Linked DNA regions of Saccharomyces cerevisiae S288C. The gene in region 1 interacts genetically with each later gene. Each region holds a gene or a part of one and is shown on either strand. Other genes may lie near its edges.

Region 1 (4,384 bases):
TTTCGTTAACCTTGTAAGTAGCTATGGCCTTGTGAGTTAAATTTAGAGGAACTACTATACATTTGTCCTTTACATCGGGATCACGGAATATGTAATTCGCTGCGTCAGGATCAATCCAAACGTTGAATTCAGCAGAAAGATTTGGGTTACAGTTTCCTAGACCATGGAGTCCACCCCCCATAATGCTAATATATTTGACAGATTTTTTTAGGTATGGTTTACACCTAAAAACTGTTGCTAATGTGGTAAGTGCACCAGTAGACACAAAGGATATCTCTCCATTGTTAGCTAGAATCGCCTCTTCAATGGCCTCAATATACGTTTTATCAGTTCTTGCCTCAAATGTTGGCTTAGGTAGCAAAGAAGTGCCGTCTAAACCTGATATACCATGAATGTCAGGAGCATAATGAGGTTCCCTTTTCCAAGGTCTCTGTGCGCCTTTATAAACTGGAATCGCTTGTGCTTTGCCCATCGCAGTCAAAAGAGAACGGGCGTTGTAGTCAGTATTCTCTGGCGGTGCGTTACCAAAACACGTGCTGATTCCTAGAAGATTGAAAGCTGGATGGAAACAGCCTAATAAAATGGCTATGGCATCATCATGACCAGGATCACAATCTAGCCATATGGGTATTTTACTAACAGTCATCTTTTCTTCAAACAGTCGCTGGTTATTGCTGTCCAACCCTTCCCCAACCTTGCAGATGAGGGAAATTATCTGTTTTAATAAGTTTCGTGAGGTAAAAAAATCAGCAGATTCCATCAAAAGTAGTTGTCACGTATGTGTCAAATATCGCGTTACGTGGTGGTGAACAGAGGGAAAACGTAATCGCGCCTCACAGGTTACCGGTGAGGCTAAGGGAATAAACTTTGAGATAATAATTAGTTATACGTATACATATGGTCGCAGTTATATGCGTTGTCTATTGTACAAATTCTGCTGTATGATTCAAGTTACTGAAGGATATGATATGTCTATCATTGCTTGTGTTCCTGCTCAGGAATAAAGATGTCATTGCCCTGTTCAATAGCCATTCTAGTATGGAAAACAATGTCAGTAGATTCCCATGGATATGCATACCACTTGTCTGGAACAGTTTTAGCTGCAAAATAACGGTTCTTGTCATTCAACATTTCGGCAGGCAAATCTGCTTTCTTTGGTTTTTGCTTATCGTGTAGAACAAAAATCCCGAAGTTTGTTTTCATCTCTGGAGACTTTTCAGTATCGATACCTTTAGCCTTTGCCTGTTCAGCTGCATCCTTTTCCAATTCACTCAAAGCGTAATGAAGTGTGGTACGGGTGTCATCGACTTCGTCAACGATAAGAACGTTCTTGCCGACTAGATCTAATTTACATTGCTCGTAATCAATCCATTGTGTTCTGCTAACCTTAACACCAACTTCCTCAACTTCTGAGCCTACACTGTTCAAATCTTCGTACAAAGACAAAATAATAGCAAAAATTCTGATGGTTGGCACGCCGGGCTCCTTTAGGAACGTACGTAGGATCCTAGCAGGAATGAAACCACCACCACCAATGGCAATGATTAAGTCCGGCTTGAAATTCTTAATTCTCTCAGCGGATACTTGACATAGTTGATGTACGTTGTTGTACGAGATGTATTGCTTATCGTTTGCCGACATTATGGGAACGTAATGGATATAATGAACACGAACGGTAATATAAAAATAAGAAAGATTACAAGGCACTACATCGTATTACTCCAGCTAGATGGAGACTAAAATAAAAAAGTTACGGCAAACCAAACTGCGAAGGGGGAACAAAATCTAACGGAAATTGGGCTTATCAAACATGTTTAAATAGAAAATTCTATAGCAGCTCATCGCTACCCGATTTGGGACAGATGGAGGGGGAAAAATTTTTTTTCCTTTTCTTTCCTAGTAAACGCGAAATATAGAGAAAAAAAATGAAAGAAGTCAGATAAGCGGAAATGATATTAATTGAAATTAATCTAATTAATTTTTTCAGAAGAAAAAAAAAATAAGTGACTCGGAAGGGAAATATGTACTGTCTTTTCTTAGTTAACCAACTATGGTTGTGACGTAAAAGTGGAGTGCTTGCTTGATGTTCCAGATGGCCTTACTGTTAACGATGCCAGATGCAGTTCAAAAAGGATAAACGATTGTGGGGGTCTTTTGACAGATCTTCTTCGCGTGGGATACTTTCGTGATCTTTTTTTTTCTTTTTTCTTTTCTTACATTATGTGGTGAACTCTATATAAGTATTTATGTGCCTAGAGATTATTTTTGTATTCTGATGCGTGAAAGCATTTTATGCATGATATCCTCTATTCCATCTCAACGTCACTATATCCGGCTTCCTCCTCGCCGTCGCTCTGCTCCGTTTCTAAACGGCCATCTTGCTTAGATGAGGTATGCTTCTGTTCCTCTTCGTTGTCACTATCACCTTCTTCTTCTTCTTCACTGCCATAAGATTCTTCACCGTCCTCTATAAGGCCGGCATCATCGAGTTCTTCGTTATATTCAACGTCGTCTTCGTCCTCTTCGACAACTGGTTCGGATGAGTGGATGTCGCCTGCTTCATAGTTCAAAGTTTTGAATTTATTTATAGTACAGTCTAACCTTGCATCCAGTGCTAGTAGCCTTGGTAATAAGTCGGAACGCCTTTTCAAGGTGGAATGTAACGACGATAGAGTAGACATCAAATTTGGAATAGAAACCAAATAGCCACCGTGTATGATTAAACACCATTTTACCCAAACATTCAATGGGCCTTGACGGTGGGTTTGTCTTGCAATCCTCTCTGCCAACCTTTCTAAGAGAATGACAGCCAGTGCTGGTTTCAGACGGAAGATAGTATCCCTAATGACCCTCTCGTCACGATTATTGAGCACTGTTTCCAACAGTGAATGATCATTTGATTGTAGTGCTTGCGACAGAATTACTGTTACCGTCCCGGTTGTCGTAGCAGTCTTGAGATTGGAACCTTTTAAATTTGTTTTTTTCCCACTAATCCTTGCGACGGTGCTTGATTCTAGCTTATCACCAAATGTTTCTGTTAATAGTTCATTGGCCTGTGGGGGCTTGGCCTGTTCTTGTTCCAAAGAAGTCAATTCTCTTTCCCAGCTCTTTATAGCGTCATCAACATGCTTGAAGTTATCTCCAGAGGTGACTCTTGCATTACCTTCCACGTAGTTGGTGGCTGAGGCAAGATCTTTACCGTGTAGATCGCGATCGGCGGACTTATTTTTATTATTCCAATTTAGGGAAATTTCGACGGTATATTCATTAGGGATTTCTCTCCACTGCAAGTTCTTGAAGTAAGGCATAGTAGCATTTTGTAACCACGATACGTTCAAAAGGTCTTTATTAATAAATGCGTTATAAATTGGAACTTTCCTGCCGTCTTTACTGACGATTTGAATCTTTTTGCTGGATTTTTTGGACTTGTTGCCTCTTTTCTTTGTTGAACTCGATACCAATGGATCAACAAAAATTTCCAAGCTACCATCCTCGGTAGTGACTGCGATAGAATCGGCTTGGCCTGAATGAGATAACTCCTTGATATCTGATTCAGCCACAAGGACGCATTTGGTCATACCGGAATGAATATCATATACGTTCAAGAATCTATCACCCTCTGCGCCTGATATGAAAAATTCATTAGTTATAACTTGCAATGTGGACACTGGAGATACATGACCGGGAAATGTCATTACGACTTTTTTCTCTTCGATGTCTATTAAAGAAATGGAATGGGATGCAACCAAAAGTTGTGCAACAGAATCGCCTGCTGGAACAATGGTTAGTTTATTCAATTGAACGCAGTTGTTTATTCTAAAATGTTGTAACAGTTTGAATTGTAACAGATCGAACTGATAGAATGCGTCGCTGGAGTCGATACACCACAGTTGATTACCCATCAAGTCTATGTCTTTGATTTCGTAAGAATTCCCCGTAGTGAATTTATAGGTGACTTCGTTGGCCAATACGGAATATAGCCAAATTTCACCGTTATTCATACCCAATATAATAGCCACTGTGTCGGAAGAAGCCAGGTTTACCCATTTTAAGCACGTCACCTTCAATTTCGAGTCCTCTAAATACAGAAAATTCTCATTCCACACTGTATCAACTCCGGAGGAAGTGGCCCTTTGAGTGGGCTGTACACCAACGCGTTGCTTGTCCAAAGCTACAGTGACATAACACAAATACTGACCTGATGGGTCATAAGCGGACTGTAGAACAGGAGAATCCATCGGTAATGAACAATTATAAGGCAAATGTGTCTTTTACCCTCTTGCTAAGCCAAGTTTAAACTATATATGCTCTGCATCTATCTTTACATACATATATCCTATCCAATACTTGTTAATTTTTTCACCTCATCGCTTCAGCTGCGAAA
Region 2 (4,698 bases), on another chromosome or scaffold:
ACGCGCCTTCGCAACCCCAAAGCAATCCATTTCCATTCCCAATTCCTGAAATTCCCTCGACACAGTCTGCAACAAACCCATTTCCATTTCCGGTACCTCAGCAGCAGTTTAATCAAGCTCCTTCAATGGGCATACCACAGCAGAATAGGCCCCTTCCACAGTTGCCTAACAGAAATAATCGGCCTGTGCCACCTCCTCCGCCAATGCGTACCACTACTGAAGGTTCAGGTGTTCGCCTACCTGCTCCTCCACCTCCGCCAAGGCGTGGGCCAGCACCACCGCCTCCACCACATAGGCACGTAACCAGTAATACCCTGAATTCTGCCGGTGGAAATAGCCTCCTTCCACAGGCCACTGGAAGAAGAGGGCCAGCACCACCACCTCCTCCAAGAGCATCTCGCCCCACACCAAACGTTACGATGCAACAAAATCCACAACAGTACAATAATTCTAACCGCCCCTTTGGATATCAGACAAATAGCAACATGTCATCTCCACCCCCTCCTCCAGTGACAACTTTCAATACCCTGACACCACAAATGACTGCAGCAACTGGACAACCTGCAGTTCCCCTTCCTCAGAATACTCAAGCACCTTCGCAAGCCACAAATGTGCCAGTGGCACCACCACCTCCTCCGGCATCTTTAGGCCAGTCGCAGATACCTCAGTCAGCACCCTCAGCACCTATTCCGCCAACGTTACCATCGACGACGAGTGCTGCACCACCTCCGCCACCAGCATTCCTAACTCAACAACCTCAATCTGGAGGAGCTCCAGCTCCACCCCCACCTCCTCAAATGCCAGCTACATCAACATCCGGAGGCGGTTCATTCGCTGAAACTACTGGAGATGCAGGTCGTGATGCACTTTTAGCTTCAATTAGAGGGGCAGGTGGCATAGGCGCTTTGAGAAAAGTTGACAAATCGCAGCTAGATAAGCCCTCAGTTTTACTGCAGGAAGCACGTGGAGAATCTGCTTCACCACCAGCAGCGGCTGGAAATGGAGGCACACCTGGTGGACCTCCGGCTTCTTTAGCAGATGCGTTGGCAGCAGCTTTAAACAAAAGAAAAACTAAAGTGGGAGCTCATGACGATATGGACAATGGTGATGATTGGTAATGGAATGCAAACAAAGATGAAACTACTGTTATAGAAAATATGTAATTTTATGTACTCACTATTAATGATCAAAGTAATTGCTCTTTTTATGTATAGTTTCTTTAATCGGAGGAAATTTTGATATAGGTTCAAAGGCGGTCAGTGATTGAATGATCAAGGTAATAGTCGGGCTACAATGATGGCCATCCCTATGGCCGTTTCAAATGTTTGAGAAAATGATGTATAGTAAATCCTAGATTTTAGCAGTTCGAATCAAAAACCCATGTAAAAAGGGTAAATATTTCCTAATTATAATATTTTTGTTTAATTACACATGTAGAACAATAAAAGTATAGAATTTTAGATAGTATCTATTGGACAGATGGACCTGGGTTCATTCTTCTCTTACCGTTAACCAAGGTAACGTTAACGAATCTTCTGGTGTACAATAATCTCTTGTAAGCACGACCCTTTGGTTTCTTTGGCTTTTCAGTTTTTTCAACCTTTGGAGTTTGAGACTTAACTTTACCAGCACGAGCTAGAGAACCGTGAACTTTAGCCTAAGGAGAATTTGAAAAAAAAAAAATTTTTCATTTAATGTTAGTAATGAGATATTCAGACTTGTGTTATGGAGTTACTGCAACGCAGACGCTAATTTTTTAGGAAAGGTCTATATTCAACATGTTGTGAATATTAACGAGAATAATCGTCCTTTGAAATTCTCGTCTTTCTTCCTTTTTTGTACATTTACATCTCAACATAATAATGATACAATATTTTATTTTCTTTTCATTTTTCAGTCATTATCTACAGGCATTTGATGGATTATTAATATTATCATGGGGCAATCTTTCCTATTCAAAATATTACTTTGATCGTAGTTTTCCCTTTTAATACACCTTCTTCCTGTATGGGGACAAGTTTCCTAAAAAAAGCGTTTCGTGGAGCATTTTAACACAATATTAACGTACCATTTTGTATAATTTGTTTATCTAGTATCTTGAGGAAGGAGTGCTAATTCAGAATCTTCATCCTTAATATTGAAGATTGGGATGAGATTACTTCACCATGGTGAATACGGGACAAAACTAATTGGAGGAAAATGCAGCATAGATGGGAAACTCGGTCACCCTTGCCCGCTAAGCAGAAGACGCAAAAAACATCTGCGCGAAAAAGAAATGGGTCCACAATATGTACGGATGTATGGTCCCAAAAGAAAAGCCATAATAAGGACAGGAAACCCGGATGACGGCATTAATTTACCTGACACCGGCCGAGGCACCTTAACTGCAGCCACAATTTGGTCACGAGCTTACCATTCAAATTATTCTTACCTTGTACGCCCAAAAGTAGTGACTCTTTCTAAGCATCGCGAATTAATGACTACTTTTCTTTTATACGTTTTATATGTATGTATATATATAAGTGCCTTCATAAAATAGACAAAGACATTAAGGAGCCTTTGAAATTACTTAATTGAACAACACAGGTCTAATTAGTTGATCAATCATCGATTAACCATTAGTGATAAGAAACAATGTCTTTGGAAAGAGAGGAACCACAACATTTCGGAGCAGGGCCAGCTCAAATGCCTACACCAGTTTTGCAACAAGCTGCTAAAGACTTAATCAATTTCAATGACATAGGTTTGGGTATCGGTGAAATTTCTCACCGTTCGAAGGATGCCACCAAAGTGATTGAAGACTCTAAGAAGCACTTAATCGAACTGCTAAATATTCCTGACACTCATGAAGTGTTCTACTTGCAAGGTGGTGGCACTACTGGTTTTTCTTCCGTTGCTACTAATTTGGCAGCTGCATATGTGGGTAAGCATGGGAAGATTGCACCTGCCGGTTATTTAGTCACCGGTAGTTGGTCTCAGAAATCTTTTGAAGAGGCAAAGAGATTGCACGTTCCTGCTGAAGTTATCTTCAACGCTAAAGATTATAACAATGGCAAATTTGGTAAAATTCCGGATGAATCCCTTTGGGAAGATAAAATCAAAGGTAAGGCTTTCTCATACGTGTACCTATGTGAGAATGAAACTGTTCATGGTGTTGAATGGCCAGAATTACCAAAATGTTTAGTAAACGACCCCAACATCGAAATTGTTGCTGACTTATCCAGCGACATTTTGTCTCGTAAGATTGACGTTTCTCAATACGGTGTCATCATGGCAGGCGCCCAAAAAAACATTGGTTTAGCAGGCTTAACCCTATACATTATCAAGAAATCCATCCTTAAGAATATTTCTGGCGCTTCTGATGAAACATTACATGAATTGGGAGTACCAATCACCCCTATTGCATTCGACTATCCAACGGTGGTGAAGAACAACTCAGCCTATAATACAATTCCAATTTTCACTTTACATGTTATGGATCTCGTGTTCCAACATATTTTGAAGAAGGGTGGTGTTGAAGCGCAACAGGCTGAAAATGAAGAAAAGGCCAAGATATTATATGAGGCATTGGATGCAAATTCAGATTTTTACAACGTTCCAGTGGATCCAAAGTGTAGATCAAAAATGAATGTCGTTTTCACCCTTAAAAAGGACGGCCTTGATGACCAGTTTCTAAAAGAGGCAGCTGCTCGTCATTTAACCGGTTTGAAAGGACATCGTTCAGTTGGTGGGTTCAGAGCCTCCATCTATAACGCGCTTTCAGTGAAAGCTGTACAAAACTTGGTAGATTTTATCAAGGAATTTGCTGAGAAAAACGCTTAATATCAGCGGAATATGCCTGTAATTTGGTTCAAAGAAAAACTTTTTCAAGTCATATGTAAGTTTTAAATAAATCAGTTTACGAACATGCACAAGAATAACTTCTCTTCTTTTTCTTGAAATAAAGGCCGAATTATACGATATGATATGAGACGTTCTAATTACAATACGATACCGTGAGATAAAAATAGCGATATCCTCGTACTCAAAGAAGTCTAATTGTTTTAGCCCGTTGATCAAAAAAATAAAATGTATTTTTATTTTTTTGTCATCCAGCTCAAGATCGTAATATTGGCAATTAACAACCGAGCGAGGCACAGGGCAAAGAGAATGTGGGTGAGACTGAACTATCTCTCCCAATATATTATACTTTTTTTTGTCGCGTCTACCAATTAAATGAAAACATAATTGGGAATACTTTCCTCTTCTTATATTTTATCTTAACTCGTTTCCGATCTTCTGATATTCTATTTGTATATGAATAAGAACATTATTGTAATCGAAAGAAGTATCTCTTTTCAAGAGGATTACTTTTCATTGAAAACTTTTGGACGGGCAAAAAAAAAAAAGCGCCAGCAGGAAGAAAAAAGGAATCTAGTAAAAAATAAAAATTAGGTTTATAAAGTAGTAAGTGAAGTGCAAGAGGGAGCGTTATTGGACGATCATATTGTGATCGGATCCCGTTTATTGGTCTTTGATTCAATTTAAAAGAAAAGAAATGTACAGGTTAAACTTCAACATACCAAAAAAAAATTACAATGTGGCAATTAAACAGAGAAGAACTAATTCTTTAAAAATAGACTTTCAGAACTATATATTAAAAATAAAAGAAATTTCAAAAAAAAATTTTTAGATTGATGTGAGAAGAAGCAGAATATT
Region 3 (5,231 bases), on another chromosome or scaffold:
TGAATTCCATTCTAACAAAATCTCAATTCATGCCCACGACTAATGAGCTAGATGTCACGATAAGAAAATCTTACGATGTCTCGTTATACTCATGCAGACTTGGCGGCATTCTAGGTTTAAGTTCACGTGTTCCCCACCGAGGCGGTGTCAACACGAAATATATTTTACCATCGTCACTATTGGAAATGAGCGAAATAATAACAGAAAGTTGTTTTATGCTAATGGAGGAGTTCGACGGGCTGCTCCCTCAAAAATTCGAGTTGGACCCTTGCACTGATGAGACTAATGGGAATTGCGAGTTTAACGGCGAAACTAAATCACGAATGATTGCCAACGGCGAATATGAAACTTTTGAAAATGACCTAGATGTCGGGATCAAAGTTTCGAATTATGGGAAAGGTGGGAATGACCAGAAAGCTAAGAGAAATGTACTAAGCAAAGATGGGATAACAGAGACTCAAAACATAAAAGGTGATACTGTTGGAAGCTCGAAATCGATTGCTGAAATAGACGGCGACGAAGTAACGCAAATACGTAGAGTTTTTACGCTTGGTAAGGATATCAAACCGCATATTACAACGGACGATACCATGGGTTCTCAGTGGAAAAACCATCCAGACTGGCCATTTTGGGTCAACAAGGTAGAATCCAGAAGATTGTTGGATTCGAATATCATTGAATCTATATTTTATATGTACAGAATCAGTGGAGAACAAAAATGGAGAAGCATGGGTAAGCAGTCTTTTGGAATCTTAATGCAAGAATTAATGGAACTAAACAGTGGTGCCAAAGGATTGTGGCAAATAAAGGAATTTTATGAAAACGGTGAAAAAGTGAACAATGATTTACCTAGCTATTGGTTCTCCAGAACATTAAAATACTATTTGCTACTATTCAGCGATGGTGACAAGGTTTCCCTGGACAAACACATCTTAACTCAAGGAGGGCACATAATCAAAAAGAAATGAAGTTAACGTTAGAAAAATCGTACGCACATACATACATACATATAGGTACATATATACATAATGAGAAGAGGAGAAAATGAATACTTATACAGTAATGTTTATTTTTTTGGGATTAAGTGTCGTTGTGGTGATTTCTTTACACAGCCAATGGGTATTCGCCAGCCCAGTCGTAAATTTCCTTTTTCCAGGTGTTCAAAACATCAGAGCCTTCGTCGACCTTGGCTTTGAAGTCCTTTAATCTACAAGCATCCTTTGGCAAGCTTTGTTGAACTTGTTGAGCGAATTCTACAGCCTTGTTAATGTATTGAACAATTCTGTGGAAATCTTCTTCACCCATTCCTCTAGTGGTCATGGCTGGAGCCCCAATACGGACACCACCTGGAACCAAAGCAGATTTGTCACCTGGAATAGAGTTTTTGTTCAAAGCAATGTTAATCTTTTCACAAATGTATTCAACACGAGCACCATCAACACCCTTTTCTCTCAAGGATACTAGAACCATGTGAGAATCGGTACCGTTGGAAACTAATCTGTAGCCCAAGTTCTTAAATTCACTTTCCAAAGCCTTAGCATTCTTCAAGACTTGAGTTTGGTATTCCTTGAATTCTGGAGTGGCAGCTTGCTTCAAAGCAGTGGCCAAAGCAGCAATGGTATGGTTGTGTGGACCACCTTGGTGACCTGGGAAAACAGAGAAGTTAATTGGGTTTTCCAAGTCGTATAGAACTTCCTTACCGGTCTTAGGGTTGATAGATCTCACACCTCTTCTGAAGAAAATCATAGCACCACGTGGACCTCTCAAAGACTTGTGAGTGGTGGTGGTAACGATATCAGCGTATTCGAAAGGAGATGGGATGACACCTGCGGCGATCAAACCAGAAATGTGGGCCATGTCTACCATCAAGTAAGCACCACATTTGTCGGCGATTTCTCTCATTCTCTTGTAGTCAATTAAACGACAGTATGCTGAAGTACCAGCAACAAGAACCTTTGGTCTATATAGGATGGCGTTCTTTTCTAAAGTATCGTAGTCGATAATACCGGTTTCTGGGTTAACTCTGTATGGGAAAGATTCGAAGTATGTGGAAACAGCAGAAATTTTTCTGTTTTCAGTAGCGTAACCGTGAGACAAATGACCACCATCTGGTAGGTATAGACCCATCAATCTTTCATGAGGCTTCATAATAGCTTGATAAACCTGCAAGTTAGCAGGAGAACCAGATAAAGTTTGGACGTTAACACCCCATTTGTCTGGAGTAACATGGAAAGCTTTCAAAGCTCTTTGTTGACATAGAATTTCCATTCTGTCAATGTGTTCATTACCACCGTAGTAACGAGCACCTGGATAACCTTCAGAGTATTTGTTGGACAATGGAGTTCCAAGGGCATCGAAAACGGAGGTTGAGGTGAAATTTTCAGAAGCAATCAAATCGATGGAGTGCTTTTGTCTTTCAATTTCATCCTTGATAATGGAGTCCACTTCAGGGTCGGTGTCCACCAAATGAGAGGTGATCAACTTATGATGAGCGTCGGATAGAGTGTAAGGCATGTTAAGGAGGATTCGGTTTAAGCTGTTATGCTTTGCTATGGGGTAGTATCTTTCGTAAAGGTTACACTAGAAGAAGGAAAGATTACTGAACGCAAACTAAGGGAAGCAAGTTCTGCATTATATATAAAACAAGATGAAGAAGACTCATGGTTCGGTCTAAGATGATTATGAATTTAAAAATTATACAGAGTAAAAAGCGAACATGAGAAACCCAAGAGATAGAGTCAAACCTTTATGGTCAAAGCAACCTGAAAGGGTCATTTCTCACCAGGAGTCATGTTTCGTGTGTGAAATATTTGAAAAATTTCACTTCTTTTTTCTTTTTTTTTTTCTACATTAAAAATCGGTGCGTTGTCTTTTCAAAGATGAGGTAGATGAAGATGGTGACTCCGGCTGTTCAGATCCGATTGACTCGACCGACTCTGTTTCCTGTGGTGGCTTCAAGTAGTTGTCCATGTACCATTGCAATTGAGCTATGCTCTCTTTGATATCACTATAAGCAGTGTGGGCAGCTTCTTTTTTTGGATTACGTGCTTGTAAAGCGGGATTGTGTCTGCGGGCAACTTCCATGATGCTACTGACGTCAACTATTCTGTAAAAGAGATGATCAATGACCTTGGGAAACTCGCGGACCATGAACAAGCGGTCCATATGTACACTATTGCCTGCCAAGACGCCAACGTTCTTGTCTGGGATGTAGCGCTGGATGTACTCGAGCAGCTCATCTTCTACCTGGGCCAAAGTCTTCTCACTTGCCAAAACTTTGGCGGTGAGACCGCTATTACCGTGGTGCTCAATACACCACTCGTTCATTTTGTTCATCACCTCGGGACCATAATGGATGACGCTCTCATAATGCGAGTCTCCTTGGCCATCGGCCGCTTTGACGGGTGCCAGGTGTCCATCGGTGATGATGCAGCAAATCTCGATAATTCTGTCATTCACGTGGTCTAAACCGGTCATCTCGCAGTCGATCCAGACCAAGGGTTTGAACAGCTTGGTTTTAAGTTCGGGTGTTTGCGCCATTGATTGCAGGTTTTGGATGGTTCGAGGACGTAAGTACTGTGAAACGGATCTTCTGTACAGCGAGAAGAGGTTTGGGCGAGTGCGAGCTACGATTCTTGCCGGAAACAACAACCACTTCATCTTGATCTCTTCTGTTTATTTGTGAAAGCTCCTTTTCTTTTTTTTCATTTTCTTTGCAAATCGAAAAGTTCACACTGATTTTTTATTAGTTCTTTTAAGTGCCCAACTTGACAGGAAAAAGAAACACCCCAAAGGGAATACCAGTGTATGTAAGGCTTGAATTATACGTATGAGCATGCGTTTGATGGTTGTCGTCAGAGCCAGTGCTCTGAGAGTGTCCCAGATGACTACAACCCTTGTATAAAAGTACATCTTCTTGATTATTTATCACGACACACGAGGTGACCGATTATTCAGAATCGGTACCAAAAAAGAAAGAAAATTGAAGGAAATGAAAAATTTTCAATGTATTTCTCGAAAGCCTGGAGTTGATCAAATGTTCAAAAAATAGGGCAGAATAGCATAACACACATCAATAACACCGAGCCAGCATGCCTACCGTCTCCGTGAACAAGCAGCAATTATTTGATCTTCTAGGCAAAAACTACACTTCCCAAGAGTTCGATGAATTATGTTTTGAATTCGGTATGGAAATGGACGAAGACACCACAGAGGAGGCCTTGAAAACCGGGGAGGAGCCGGAATTGAAGCTTGATATCAGTGCCAATCGTTACGATTTGCTTTGTATCGAAGGTATTTCACAGTCGCTGAACGAATACTTGGAACGTAAAGAAAGACCTGACTATAAATTAAGCAAGCCAACCACTAAGTTGATCATCGACAAATCAACGGAGCAAATTAGACCTTTTGCTACCGCTGCTGTATTGAGAAATATCAAGCTTAACGAAAAATCTTACGCTTCTTTTATTGCCTTGCAAGATAAATTACATGCCAATCTATGTAGAAACAGAAGCTTGGTTGCCATGGGTACTCACGATTTAGATTCAATTGAAGGTCCATTCCATTACAGAGCTCTACCACCAAAGGACATCAAGTTCGTACCATTGAATCAAACCCAAGAGTTTACTGGTGACAAATTGATCGAGTTTTATAAATCTCCAGAACAGAAAAACAACATAGGGAGATACGTTCACATTATTGAGGATTCTCCAGTCTTCCCAGTTATTATGGACAGCAAAGATCGTGTTTGCTCCCTGCCACCATTAATCAATAGTGAACATTCGAAGATCTCTGTGAACACCCGTAACATTTTGATTGATATAACCGCCACCGATAAGACCAAAGCCGAGATCGTTTTGAACATATTAACTACAATGTTCTCACGTTATTGTGACGAACCATTCACGGTTGAGCCTGTAGAAATTGTCTCTGAACACAATGGCCAATCCCGTTTGGCGCCAAACTTCAACGATAGAATTATGGATGTCTCCATTAAGTACATCAACTCCTGTCTTGGCCTAGATCAATCCGCTGATGAAATTGCTCATTGTCTAAAGAAGATGTCGTTGCATGCCGTTCAATCAAAGGAAGACAAGGACATCTTGCACGTTGACATTCCGGTAACTAGACCTGATATTTTGCACGCTTGTGATATAATGGAAGATGCCGCTGTCGGTTATGGTTTCAATAATTTGCCAAAGGGTGAGAAATTATCCAATGCCAACTTCATT
Region 4 (4,363 bases), on another chromosome or scaffold:
CTATGATGATAGCGATTACAATATTAATGAACAAGTAGACGGTCACGAGGAAGTGAATAGTAATTATTACAGAGACCATAGAGTGAATTCAGGGAAAAGGGGGAGCCCTATGGACTATAGTCAAGTTGTGGTAAAGTTAGGTGATTTTGGGTTAGCCAAATCTCTGGAAACTAGTATTCAATTTGCCACAACATACGTCGGTACACCATATTACATGTCGCCTGAAGTGTTGATGGACCAACCATACTCCCCACTATCCGACATCTGGTCACTAGGTTGTGTTATTTTTGAGATGTGTTCGTTGCACCCCCCATTTCAGGCAAAAAATTATCTCGAGCTACAAACTAAGATTAAAAACGGGAAATGTGACACCGTCCCTGAGTATTACTCTAGAGGGCTTAATGCCATAATACATTCAATGATAGATGTGAACTTAAGAACCAGGCCTTCCACTTTTGAATTACTGCAAGATATTCAGATACGAACTGCAAGAAAGTCGTTGCAATTAGAGAGATTTGAAAGGAAGTTACTGGACTATGAAAATGAGCTGACAAACATTGAAAAAATCCTCGAGAAGCAAGCTATTGAATACGAAAGAGAACTGAGTCAGTTGAAGGAACAATTTACCCAGGCAGTGGAGGAGCGAGCCAGGGAAGTAATTAGCGGTAAGAAAGTTGGTAAGGTTCCAGAATCTATAAACGGATATTATGGTAAAAAATTTGCCAAACCTGCATACCACTGGCAAACAAGATATCGATAAAATTTGCTCTGAGAACATTTATACATTAATACATACGGGTATGTATGAATCATATTCAGTGAGGAGTTACACTGGCGACTTGTAGTATATGTAAATCACGTTAGTGAGACCATTTAGACCCTGTCAATGTTTCATAAGCCTCTATATATTTGGCCCTTGTCCTGTCGACAATGTCTTGGGGCATTTTGACGCCGTTAACACCGTTCAACTTATTAGCAGTAAGCCAGTCTCTTAAAAATTGCTTATCGTAAGAATCTTGGGATTCTCCTACCTTATAAGAGGCACCGTTCCAGAATCTAGAGGAGTCTGGCGTTAGCACCTCGTCCACTAGAATAATTTCATTGGTCTTTTCGTCAATACCGAATTCGAATTTAGTGTCTGCGATGATGATGCCCTTCTCCTTAGCATAATCTTTGCACTTGGAGTACAGTTTTACAGCCAGTTCTGCCACTCTACGTGACAAATCTTCACCCACCAGCTCAGCGGCCTGGGCAGGAGAGATGTTTTCGTCATGTTCACCTTGTTCAGCCTTGGTCGATGGGGTGAAGATTGGTTCTGGGAACTCTTGAGATTCTTTAAGTCCTTGAGGTTGTTTCAAACCATGCACAGTACCTGTTTTTACGTACTCTTTCCAAGCAGATCCGGTGATGTAGCCTCTGACAATTACTTCCAATGGAATTAGTTTATGTTTGTGAACCAATAGAGAGCGGTCTTCTAGTTGCGTTTTGTACTTTGGTTCGCTCAATTTTGCAGGTAGATAATCGAAAATAGTCTTACCTGGGGCGATGTCGACCAAATGATTACGAACATCGTTGGACAGGAACTTGAACCAGAACTCTGACAGTTTGGTCAATAGGATCCCCTTTTCAGGAATGCTGTTTTCCATAATAACGTCATATGCAGAGATACGATCCGTAGCAACAAACAGCAACGTACCAGCGTCTACCTCATATATGTCTCTAACTTTACCTCTGGCCACCAATGGCAATATACCGTCCAGTTCAGTCTTCGTAATTGACATTATCGTTAATATTTCGTATGTGTATTCTTTGTAAGCAATGCTTATGATTCGATTGTTCTTAATAGTACCAACTGCAAAAGATAAAACCCAACCGTCTTACCTCAAAGAATCTGGGTAAGAATATATAGAATGTATATATATATATATGTATGTCTATATGTATTAGATGGCATCTTCGAGATTAGTATTATTACATCCTCATCTCTCGCAAGAGTCAGACTGACTCGTGAATAAGCTTCGGGTGACCCTTATGGCATTCTTTTTCAACCTTCAGGAAAAGTTTCAGATGAGTTGAAATTTCGAGTATGGCTACATGGATCAAGTGCTGTAAACAAAGAAGCTTCTACAGGGGTACGCTGGTTGTGTTTTCTGCTTTGCTATCGTGTAGAACTGGATCCATTCTTTCCTGGCTGTGGTAGTACTTAAGGAGTTGGACGTGTTCAAGTCGAGAAAGAGGTGAAATACACGTAGTTTTTAGATAACATTCTCTGCTTGGTAAGAGAATGAGTAATAAGGAAGAGCATGTTGATGAGACTTCCGCAAGTGGTGTCAAGGAGGTTAGTTCTATAGCTGCTAGACATGACAATGGTTACGCGCCTTCGCTAATCACGTCGACGTCGGGCATGGACTCCTTTCAATCGCACGCGCTACTGAATGATCCAACCCTAATAGAGGATTATTCAGATATCATTAATAATAGGCCTACAAGTGGAAGTAAACTTACTTTAGGAAACGAGGATTCGGAGAGTATGGGCGGAAGTGTTGTGGTGACTCCGACTTCGAATAAGAGTTCGCCCTTCAATTCGAAACTTAATATACTGAGTAATGCGGCAGAAAAGGGCCATGATGTTCTGCGAAATAGAGATGATGACAAAGAGTTAGAGGAGGAGAACGTGGAAAAACATATGCATAGCAACAGTAAAAGGGATCAGCGACATTACAAAGAAAATTCTTCGGAATTGCCCGACTCATATGATTATTCGGATTCTGAATTTGAGGACAATTTGGAAAGAAGGCTACAAGAGATCGAAACTGATTCCGTGGATAGCGCCGATAAGGATGAGGTGCATTTTTCAGTGAATAATACAATGAACCCTGACGTTGACGATTTTAGTGATGGCTTGAAATACGCCATCTCGGAGGACGAGGATGAAGAGGAAAACTACTCTGATGACGATGACTTTGACAGAAAATTTCAAGATTCAGGGTTTCAAGGGGAGAAAGACGATTTGGAGGAGGAAAACGACGATTACCAACCCTTATCGCCGCCAAGAGAACTGGACCCTGATAAACTATATGCTTTATATGCGTTCAATGGCCATGATTCTTCACATTGTCAATTAGGGCAAGACGAACCTTGTATACTTTTGAATGACCAGGATGCCTATTGGTGGCTGGTTAAGAGGATCACTGATGGTAAAATCGGGTTTGCGCCAGCGGAAATTCTAGAAACCTTTCCAGAAAGACTAGCTCGATTGAATTGCTGGAAAAATGAAAACATGTCTTCTCAATCGGTTGCTTCCTCCGATTCGAAAGATGATTCCATCAGCTCTGGTAACAAGAATCAAAGTGATGCAGAGAGTATAATTCCGACACCTGCACTGAATGGATATGGTAAGGGGAACAAATCTGTTAGTTTCAATGATGTTGTCGGTTATGCAGACAGGTTTATAGATGATGCAATTGAAGATACCTCGTTAGATAGTAACGATGATGGCGGTGAAGGCAATGGACAGTCGTACGACGATGATGTTGATAACGACAAGGAAACAAAAGTAACGCACCGGGACGAATACACTGAAGCGAAGTTAAATTTTGGCAAATTCCAGGATGATGATACGAGCGATGTAGTGAGCGACGTCTCCTTTAGTACATCTTTGAATACACCACTAAATGTGAAAAAAGTTCGGAGACAAGACAACAAAAACGAAAGTGAGCCTAAGACATCATCGAGTAAAGACAGAGAAGATGATTATAATGCAAATCGGTATGTGGGGCAAGAAAAGTCTGAACCGGTTGACAGTGATTACGATACCGATCTGAAAAAAGTATTTGAAGCGCCTCGTATGCCATTTGCGAATGGTATGGCAAAATCAGACTCTCAAAATTCCCTTTCAACAATTGGCGAGTTTTCACCGTCGTCGTCAGAATGGACAAACGAATCACCATCCACTCCAATAGTTGAAGAAAGCAGCAGTATTCCATCATCTAGAGCAATAAAGGACATTTCACAATATATTCATGCAAAATCGAAAATTGAAGAGACAACAAACGTGGAAAACACAGAGGGGCAAATTCAAGCCAGCTTGGGGTCTAGTGGAGGAATGGCAAATCAAACTGACGCAGAACAACCTAAAGAGGAGCTAGAAAAACATCACAGTACCCCCGAAGAAGAAAAGCAATCAACCTTATCGTTACACTCATCATCTGAAGAAGATTTTTATATGGATGAACAAAGGGCGGTATCATCAGCAAGCATAAATAGTTCACTTTCCGGATCAAGGGCATTGTCTAATACCAATATGTCCGATCCGGCTTCGAAGCCCAATTCTTTGGTTCAACATCTCTATGCTCCAGTTTTT

Evidence for each region.
Region 2: mutations in HPT1 (region 1) and SER1 together harm fitness more than expected from each alone (negative genetic interaction), as found in Saccharomyces cerevisiae (4 studies listed by BioGRID).
Region 3: mutations in HPT1 (region 1) and SHM2 together harm fitness more than expected from each alone (negative genetic interaction), as found in Saccharomyces cerevisiae (4 studies listed by BioGRID).
Region 4: mutations in HPT1 (region 1) and ADE1 together harm fitness more than expected from each alone (negative genetic interaction), as found in Saccharomyces cerevisiae (3 studies listed by BioGRID).

What each region holds. Positions count from the first base shown.
Region 1 is NC_001136.10:1,267,325-1,271,708, reverse strand, and holds HPT1 (hypoxanthine phosphoribosyltransferase), read right to left. Parts: upstream 1,642-4,384; coding exon 976-1,641; downstream 1-975. Other genes in the region: URH1 (trifunctional uridine nucleosidase/nicotinamide riboside hydrolase/nicotinic acid riboside hydrolase), read right to left, coding at 1-646; UTP5 (Utp5p), read right to left, coding at 2,307-4,238. UniProt on the Saccharomyces cerevisiae protein: Converts guanine to guanosine monophosphate, and hypoxanthine to inosine monophosphate. Transfers the 5-phosphoribosyl group from 5-phosphoribosylpyrophosphate onto the purine.
Region 2 is NC_001147.6:676,723-681,420, forward strand, and holds SER1 (O-phospho-L-serine:2-oxoglutarate transaminase), read left to right. Parts: upstream 1-2,634; coding exon 2,635-3,822; downstream 3,823-4,698. Other genes in the region: actin-binding protein LAS17, read left to right, coding at 1-1,118; 40S ribosomal protein eS30 RPS30B, read right to left, coding at 1,469-1,657, 2,069-2,071; FYV12 (Fyv12p), read left to right, coding at 2,150-2,539. UniProt on the Saccharomyces cerevisiae protein: Phosphoserine aminotransferase (PSAT) is a pyridoxal 5'-phosphate-dependent enzyme involved in the second step of the phosphorylated pathway of serine biosynthesis.
Region 3 is NC_001144.5:256,888-262,118, forward strand, and holds SHM2 (glycine hydroxymethyltransferase SHM2), read right to left. Parts: upstream 2,515-5,231; coding exon 1,105-2,514; downstream 1-1,104. Other genes in the region: putative mannosidase MNL2, read left to right, coding at 1-968; REX2 (Rex2p), read right to left, coding at 2,851-3,660; FRS1 (phenylalanine--tRNA ligase subunit beta), read left to right, coding at 4,092-5,231. UniProt on the Saccharomyces cerevisiae protein: Interconversion of serine and glycine.
Region 4 is NC_001133.9:166,793-171,155, reverse strand, and holds ADE1 (phosphoribosylaminoimidazolesuccinocarboxamide synthase), read right to left. Parts: upstream 1,782-4,363; coding exon 861-1,781; downstream 1-860. Other genes in the region: serine/threonine protein kinase KIN3, read left to right, coding at 1-760; protein phosphatase regulator BUD14, read left to right, coding at 2,285-4,363. UniProt on the Saccharomyces cerevisiae protein: Catalyzes the reaction of 4-carboxy-5-aminoimidazole ribotide (CAIR) and aspartic acid with the formation of N-succinyl-5-amino-imidazole-4-carboxamide ribotide (SAICAR) in the purine biosynthesis pathway.